Oryctolagus cuniculus: one gene and its partner. The protein of the gene in region 1 interacts with the protein of each later gene in a pairwise test. Links are inferred from orthologs where the notes say so. Each region holds a gene or a part of one and is shown on either strand. Other genes may lie near its edges. The genes, in order: RAB3IP and PLOD3.

Region 1 (4,278 bases):
TTAAAGATTTATTTATTTATTTGAAAGGAAGAGTAACACCACTCCCCTTTGGGAGTAGATAAAAGGCCTCCTTTTTTGGTTGCGAACCTTTGTTGCCAGCTGTCTCTGCTTTCTTGTATGTATGCTTGCTCCATGTGGCTGCTGGCCTGCTATCTGCCTGGTGTGGACCCAACTTAGCTTCTAGACCTCTCTCGCTCTCTCCTAATTAAAGCCCTCACTTTCCTGTGCATTCCTCTCACTGAATAAAAACGCTTAAAAACGTAAAAAAAAAAAAAAAAGAAAAGGAAGGAAGAATTACAGAGAGGCAGAGGCACAGAGAGAGAGAGAGAGAGAAGGAGAGAGGGATCTTCCATCTGCTGGTTCACTCACCAAATGGCCCCAATATCCGAAGCTGGGCCGATTTGACTACCAGCCAGGAGCTTCTTCTGCGTCTCCCACGTGGGTGCAGAGGCTCATGGACTTGGGCCATCTTCTACTGCTCTCCCAGGCCATAGCAGGGAGATGGAATGGAAGTAGATCAGCTGGGACTTGAACCATCACCCATATGGGATGCCGGCACTGCAGGCTGCAGCTTTTACCCAGTATCCACAGCGCCAGCCCCAGAAAATTTGGGTTATTAAGGATTAGCTTGCTCAAGGCCAGCCCCACAGTTAGGCCAGAAGTTCTGATTCCAATAGCCACAAACCTACTTTTTACTGCCTCTAGTAGATCTGATCAGTATACCGAATCTTTTACTAGCCATAGCCACATAATGGCGATTGTCTTTTTTTTTTTTTTTTTTTTTTAATCAGACTTTCAGGAGCTCGGTTCTGTCAGTATTTTCACTTCTCCTACCTGGAGAACTTAAAATGTGTATGTGGGGGGTGGAGGGGGCGGAGAGCGAAGTTTGATAACAATAGGTGACACAAAAGAGAGGAGAAGGCAGGTACAGAAAGGACATTCTGGAATGCTCTGGCAATGGCTCGAACGCAGCGGTCTAAGTTCTATCAGTCTTTCCCTCCCAGTCCCCGCCATGCACACGCACACACGCGGTAAGGTTCATGTGGACGCCGTCTCGGGTTGATTCTAGCAGTCCACAGCTCGCCGCCACCGTGCCTCTTCCGACGTCGGGTGAAACCAACGCCGGGGAAGCTACCTGGAGGCCTCGCGCCGGCGGAGGGCAACACGGCATGGCGCCGTCGCGTCCGTTCCCACGGAAACCGCCCGCAGAAGCACCTGGGGCCCCAGCGGTGCGAGCGGTGGCACCTGCCGCGAGCCCCGCCCGGCGCCAGGGGGCGCGGAAACGCGTCGGCTCCTCCCGCCCCACACCGGCCGCGCCCCGCCCCGGAGGCCCCGCCCCCGGAGGCCCCGCCCCGAGCCCCGCCTTCCCTCCGCGGGCGCCGGCCGCTCCCGGCTCCGGGCCCCGCTCCTGGCGCAGGCGCAGTCCCGCGCTCCCTCGGCGGCTCCCCGGCGCAGTGCGCTCGCCGCCGCCGAGTGTAGCGGCTTCGGCCCGCCGTCCTCCTCTGCTTCTGGCCGTTTTGGAGGCGCGCGCTCTCTTGCCTCTCTGCGAGCTGCCCTGAGTGCGGGCACTGGCCGCTGTGGATTCGTCAGGTGAGTGCGGCCGCGAAGAGTGGGAGGCCTGGGGCGTGGAGCACCGCCCCCCTCGCGCCTGCCCGCCTCCCGCGAGCCGGCCGGGAGGGACGTCTGTGGCAGGTGCAGGTGCCATCGAGGCGCGGGCCCGGCGGGCTGCCCGCCTGGGCACTCGGGCTCCCAGACCCGCGGCGGCTGCGAGTGGTGGGGGCCTCGGCGCCCCGGGTCAGCCGGGCGCCCCCGGGCCGCTGGTGGGCGGCGGGCGGCGGCTCCTCCTTGTCCCCCGGGCACGGGCGCGTTACTTATTAACTGCGCGGTCCCGAGCGCCGGAGACGGGCAGCTCGGAGCTTGGTTACCTGTGTGCGAGCGAGCGCGGCCGGGCCCCGGGCCCCGGGGGTCGCGGAGTGGGGTGAACAGACTTCCCGAACAAGTGGGAAGCCCGGGGCAGCTCCGAGGCCGCGCGGGCGCCGTGGACCGGGACCTGGGTCACGCCCGCTTCTCAGGCGCCCTGCGAGGCGTAGAGGTCACCCCCGGAGGTTTCGGCGAAACCTGGTGGGAGAGAGCGAGCCGGGAGCCTCCTACCCCAGGGAGGCACTCGGCTCTGCCCGGCTTTCGCAGGCGCTGGGTGCAGTTGGGACACGCTGCACCGACTGGTCATAATGACACTGCCCTGCCGGCCTTAGCAGCTCTCCTTGGCGCCCCGGGAAAAGCCAGCGAGGTGGCTGTGGAAGGGATGATGCTGGATGCAATCCGCAGCACGTGGAGAGCTGCCAGTTAGGAGAGTTGCAATAATAATACTATCTGCCTGGTAAGATGCTGGAAAATCAGAGAGCCGAGTTGAACAGAGGCAGCTCCTGCGAGGCTGTTTAGTTTCCTGGCAGTGTTACTCGTTCCAAGGCTATCTGTTATACACTGTTTTCCCCCTGACTCTTTCAGTGTGGGGAAAGAGCCCTGGGAGCCAGCCCTGGAATGATTGCATAATTGGAGAGCCCGGTAAGAGGATTACAACGAAACTCCGCTGTTGTGAATCTATTGAAAGACCCGCTTTCTCTCCATTATCCTTATTCTTCTCTGGCTCGTGCAGTTTTAACGAAAATAATGGTGAATGACACATCAAGGAGAAAAGAGGCAGAATAGGTTTGTATACTCGTCACAGTAAATATTTGATACTGTTAAATATTTCACCAGTTTTATGAGGTCTTGTTCTGTTAATGTTATTTATTTACTAGTACTGTGCATTTTGATAGGACTTCTCAGGTTTAGACAGTCACTGTATTCCAAATATGGTTGATGTGATCTGATCCTAAAGCCTTTGTGGAATTTCTGTGAATAAACTTCACAGTTAAATAATTTTACGACAGTGGTGTATTTCTTACTATTAGAAGAAAAGCCTGCGAATGTTTTCTGTTGTAATGGTGTTATATATTAACGCATGCTTTCGTGACCCGCAGTGTCTAAGGTAACTCTTCCTCGTGGGTTTGGCACACAACTGAACACCTGTAACTTTTCACCAGGATGGGTACTTGATGTGCATTTGCTTTTAATTAGTGAGATTTTTGATTAGATCCAGTTGTGCTTTCTGAATTCATGTGGTTATATGCTTCTTTAATCTCTGCTAAAAGGTCTATTTATTTATTTTGAAAGTTTCAGAGACGGAGAGACAGACAAGAAGGATCTTGCATATGCTGATTTCACTCCCTGGATGGCCTCAATGACCAGCACTGGGCCAGGCCCAAACAAGGAGCCAGGAGCTTCATCCAGGCCTCCCACGTGGGTGGCAGGGGCCCATATACTTGGACCATCTTCCCCTGGTTTCTCCAGGCCGTTAGCAGGGAGCTGGGCTGGAAGTGGAGCAGCCGGGACTGGAACCAGCACCCATGTGGGATGCTGGTGTCCTGGGTGGCAGCTTAACCCACTGCACCACAGCGTCACCCCTTGTTCGTTAGTATTCTTTACCTCTGATTTTCCCTCAACTCTCCACTTGTCCTTCCCTGCCCAACCCCTGACACAGGCTCTACAAATAATTGTTAAAATGGAATAGGTCTTAGAAATCTAGGCCACCCCGTCCTTTTTTAATAAGGCAGAAAAAACTTACAGGTGCAGTGGTTTCCATTGATTGTGGTGATTAGCATACATTGTTTGCCCCCTCCCAGGCGGGACTCACTCAACGAATGAGTGAGCTGGCCAAAGGAAGAATGATTTAACTTTCTGCTCCATCACTTACTAAGCCTATGACTTTGAGGGAAGCATTTAACCTCTCTGAACTTGTTTTCTACATTATGGAAATGCTGTCAGACCACAGCAAGTGCGGTTGCCAGCACTCTGCCGGTTTTCGTGTTTCAGCCTAGTAAGAACTTTTTTTTTTTTTTTTAAAGGCAGAGTGGACAGTGAGAGACAGAAAGGTCTTCCTTTTCCGTTGGTTCACCCCCCAATGGCCGCTGCGGCCGGCGCACCACGCTGATCCGATGCCAGGAGCTAGGTGCTTCTCCCGGTCTCCCTTGCAGGTGCAGGGCCCAAGGACCTGGGCCATCCTCCACTGCACTCCCGGGCCACAGCAGAGAGCTGGCCTGGAAGAGGAGCAACCGGGACAGAATCTGGCGCCCCGACTGGGACTAGAACCCAGTGTGCCAGCGCCGCAGGTGGAGGATTAGCCTACTGAGCCGCGGCGCCGGCCAGTAGGAACTTCTTAATGGTGGGAGGAGGATTGCA
Region 2 (3,461 bases), on another chromosome or scaffold:
CATGCTGTCCCGCCACGGCAAGCTCTGGTCCAACTTTTGGGGGGCCCTGAGCCCTGACGAGTACTACGCCCGCTCCGAGGACTACGTGGAACTGGTGCAGCGGAAGCGAGTGTGAGTGTCGCCTGCTCCCAGGCGCTCCTGCCACACTGGGGGTGGGGAGATGCCTCGTGACCCCCGCAGTCCCCGACAGGGGGCGTGAGTGTCCTGAGGGCAAGAATCGGGCGCTGACTCCAGCGTCCGGGCCTCCAGGGGCGTGTGGAATGTGCCCTACATAGCCCAGGCCTACGTGATCCGCGGGGAGACCCTGCGGACCGAGCTGCCCCAGAGAGAGGTGTTCTCGAGCAGCGACACCGACCCGGACATGGCCTTCTGTAAGAGCCTGCGTGACCAGGTGAGGGCTGGCGGGCGGGTGCCGGGGGCCGGCCGCCCGCTGCCGTGGCCAGCGCCCTTCTCACGCGTGCTCGCCGCCCCGCCCCCACCCAGGGCATCTTCCTGCACCTCAGCAACCGGCATGAGTTTGGCCGCCTCCTGGCCACGTCCCGCTACGACACGGACCACCTGCACCCCGACCTGTGGCAGATCTTCGACAACCCTGTGGTGAGTGGGGGCCGGCAGCCGAGGAGGCGGCGGGGGCTGCCTGGGCCGCATCTCAGGGTCCCCCCCATCCTCTGTGTCACCCCATCCTGCCCCCCCAGGACTGGAAGGAGCAGTACATCCACGAGAACTATAGCAGGGCCCTGGAAGGGGACGGGATGGTGGAGCAGGTGAGTCCTGTGGCAGCAGTCGAGCCGACGGGGCTCCAGCCCGCGCGACCTCCTCTGTGTCCGGGGCGTAGCGATCGGTTTATGGGTGAAACTAGGATGTCAAAAAGAGGTGCCTGTTGTGGAGGGGTGGGAACCTGGGGCTCCCGGACCCGCAGGCCGCCCTGCTCTGCCCCAGCCTCTCCTCCCTCTCCCCCTCTGCCTTTGCTCTGTGAGCACCCACCCCAGCGCTGCTCCTCCTTTCCCCGCCCCACCCCAGCCGTGCCCGGATGTCTACTGGTTCCCGCTGCTGTCAGAGCAGATGTGTGACGAGCTGGTGGAAGAGATGGAGCACTACGGCCAGTGGTCAGGAGGCCGGCATGAGGTGAGGGTCCAGGCCTCCCGGGAGGAGGGGACGCTGAGACCGGGGGCGATGGAATGGATGGGGGGGACACACGGGGAAGTGAGCCCCAGGCAGTACGCCTGCATCGAGGAAACGTCACTGGGCCGTTGGCCAGGACGTGCAGGTGCAGCGAGGCGCCAGGCAGGGCAGGCTCTGCCCTCCTGTCCCGAGCAGCAGCTGCCCAGCTTCCAGAGGCTGGGACGGGCAGCCCTTGTCCCTGCCTGGGGGGACAGGAGGGCTTCATGGGAGCTGTGAAATCAGGAAGTAGGGAAGGAGTGCTCCAGGCACGGAGAGCAAGCGTGTGAAGACTTGGGAGCATGGGGGAGGGGGCCTGGCCCGGGCGGGGCGCGGAGGGGCCCCGGCTCAGCGTCCACTGCCCCCAGGATTCAAGGCTGGCCGGAGGCTACGAGAATGTGCCCACCGTGGACATCCACATGAAGCAGGTGGGCTACGAGGACCAGTGGCTGCAGCTGCTGAGGACCTACGTGGGCCCCATGACCGAGAGCCTGTTTCCGGGCTACCACACCAAGGTAGGCCGCTGCGGCTGCCCTCACCGCCCCTGCCACCGCCACCTCTGCCCCAGCCTGCCAGTGGCCACCCAGAGCCCCATCAGCTCCCGTGTCTAAGGTTCTGTGGAATCCAGGTCCCAGGAATGAGACGGGGAGCGGGGACAGGGACCGGGCCAGAAGTAGGCAGGCCGAGACCCGGGGTGCATCGTGGCTTAGCCGCGGCGCCAGTTAGCAGTGAGACCTTGGGGGTCTCGAGGTGTGTGTGTGTGTGGGGGGGTGCTGTGCTCTCCCCAGCAGCCCCTCCCCCCATCCTCTGCTCTCTGCACCTGCAGGCCCGGGCGGTGATGAACTTCGTGGTTCGCTATCGGCCGGACGAGCAGCCCTCTCTGCGGCCACATCACGACTCCTCCACCTTCACCCTCAACGTGGCCCTTAACCACAAGGGCCTGGACTATGAGGTGAGCCCCTCCCCCGTCAGCACACACCCACGTGCATGCCCTGGGGCGGGGGGACCCTTACCCAGGGCTCCTGCCACCTCCCCACCCCGTGCCTTCCTCCCACGTGCACGCCCGGGACAGGGGGACCCTTACCCAGGGCTCCTGCCACCCCCACCCCGTGCCTTCCTCCCCATGTGCATGCCCTATGCCCTGGTGGGGGGGACCCTTACCTGGAGCTCCTGCCACCCCCACCCCGTGCCTTCCTGCCCCCTTCCCGCAGATGCCCCCCCCCCCCCGTGTGGCACCACCCCCACAGCTCAGGTGTGTGCTCAGCCCCCTCGCCTGCTCCTTTCTCACTCCCCCCACCAGGGTGGCGGCTGCCGCTTCCTGCGCTACGACTGCGTGATCTCGGCCCCGCGGAAGGGCTGGGGGCTCCTGCACCCCGGCCGCCTCACCCACTACCACGAGGGGCTGCCCACCACTCGGGGCACCCGCTATATCATGGTGTCCTTTGTCGACCCCTGACACGCAACCACTGTGCCAAACCTTCACTGCCATGGTGCCTTCTCAGGGGAGCCCCAGCCGCAGCCCCAGCCGCCGGAAAGGGGCGGCCGCCGGTCTCCCCGCGTCCTGAATGTGTGCTGAGCGTGCCTGGGACTGATCGTGTCGTGCACCTCCCCCGCCCCCACCCTGCCCAGACACAGCCCCCTCCCTAGAGCCCGCAAGGGCTCCTGGGGAAAGGGTCTCCTGGGGGTGCCCTGGGTGATAAATTATTGAGACTGTTCCCTCCCACTAAAGGAGGATTTGTAACTCTGAGTCCGTGGGTTGTCTGTCATCCCCCCTTGTCTGGTCCTGTTCCTGCCCGCCACCCTGTCCCCTGCCCAGCACTGCGGGCAGAGCGCGGGAAAGGCTGTACCTGCCGGTTCAGGTGGAGGCCCCAGCCCCACGCAGGCCCCTGACCTCCCCAAGGATGGGTGCAGGAGCCAAGGACGGCACTGGCACAGGAGCTGCCCCCTGGACACGCACGTGCTCTGGACCTAAACTTGAACCTGGGCATGACCAGGGAACGGGATTCCCTGCAGGGTCATCATTGGAGAGCTTCCTGGCAGAGGGGGCTGTGAGAGGAGGAGAGACCTGAGAGCAGGGCTCCTTCCAGCCTCTGGGAGACCCCCAAGCCCTTGCGGCTCCCTGGGGGCTGCCCCTGGATCTCCTCTCTGTTCCCTGCTAGAGGCCTTGACGCCACCTGGCCCAGGGCGTTTTGTTGGTTCCGGACCCTTCCCCCTCCCCAGCTGGAGCCCCCTGGCAGGAGGGCGGTGCTGATGGCCCGCTGGGGTTATCCTCCTTTGTGGACGGCCCGTCCTCTCGCCCTGTG

The links.
Region 2: the proteins of RAB3IP (region 1) and PLOD3 interact in binary tests that used the Homo sapiens proteins (3 or more experiments, as listed by UniProt). The link is inferred for Oryctolagus cuniculus from reciprocal best matches to the Homo sapiens genes RAB3IP and PLOD3.

The regions. Positions count from the first base shown.
Region 1 is NC_091442.1:72,314,714-72,318,991, forward strand, and holds the start of RAB3IP (rab-3A-interacting protein), read left to right. Parts: upstream 1-1,449; 5' UTR 1,450-1,590; intron 1,591-2,238; exon of another isoform or gene 2,239-2,377; intron 2,378-2,505; 5' UTR 2,506-2,674; coding exon 2,675-2,706; intron 2,707-4,278. UniProt on the Homo sapiens protein: Guanine nucleotide exchange factor (GEF) which may activate RAB8A and RAB8B. Promotes the exchange of GDP to GTP, converting inactive GDP-bound Rab proteins into their active GTP-bound form.
Region 2 is NC_091450.1:43,400,167-43,403,627, reverse strand, and holds the end of PLOD3 (multifunctional procollagen lysine hydroxylase and glycosyltransferase LH3), read left to right. Parts: coding exon 1-111; intron 112-249; coding exon 250-391; intron 392-483; coding exon 484-597; intron 598-695; coding exon 696-764; intron 765-1,020; coding exon 1,021-1,125; intron 1,126-1,526; coding exon 1,527-1,673; intron 1,674-1,984; coding exon 1,985-2,110; intron 2,111-2,458; coding exon 2,459-2,614; 3' UTR 2,615-2,905; downstream 2,906-3,461. UniProt on the Homo sapiens protein: Multifunctional enzyme that catalyzes a series of essential post-translational modifications on Lys residues in procollagen. Plays a redundant role in catalyzing the formation of hydroxylysine residues in -Xaa-Lys-Gly- sequences in collagens.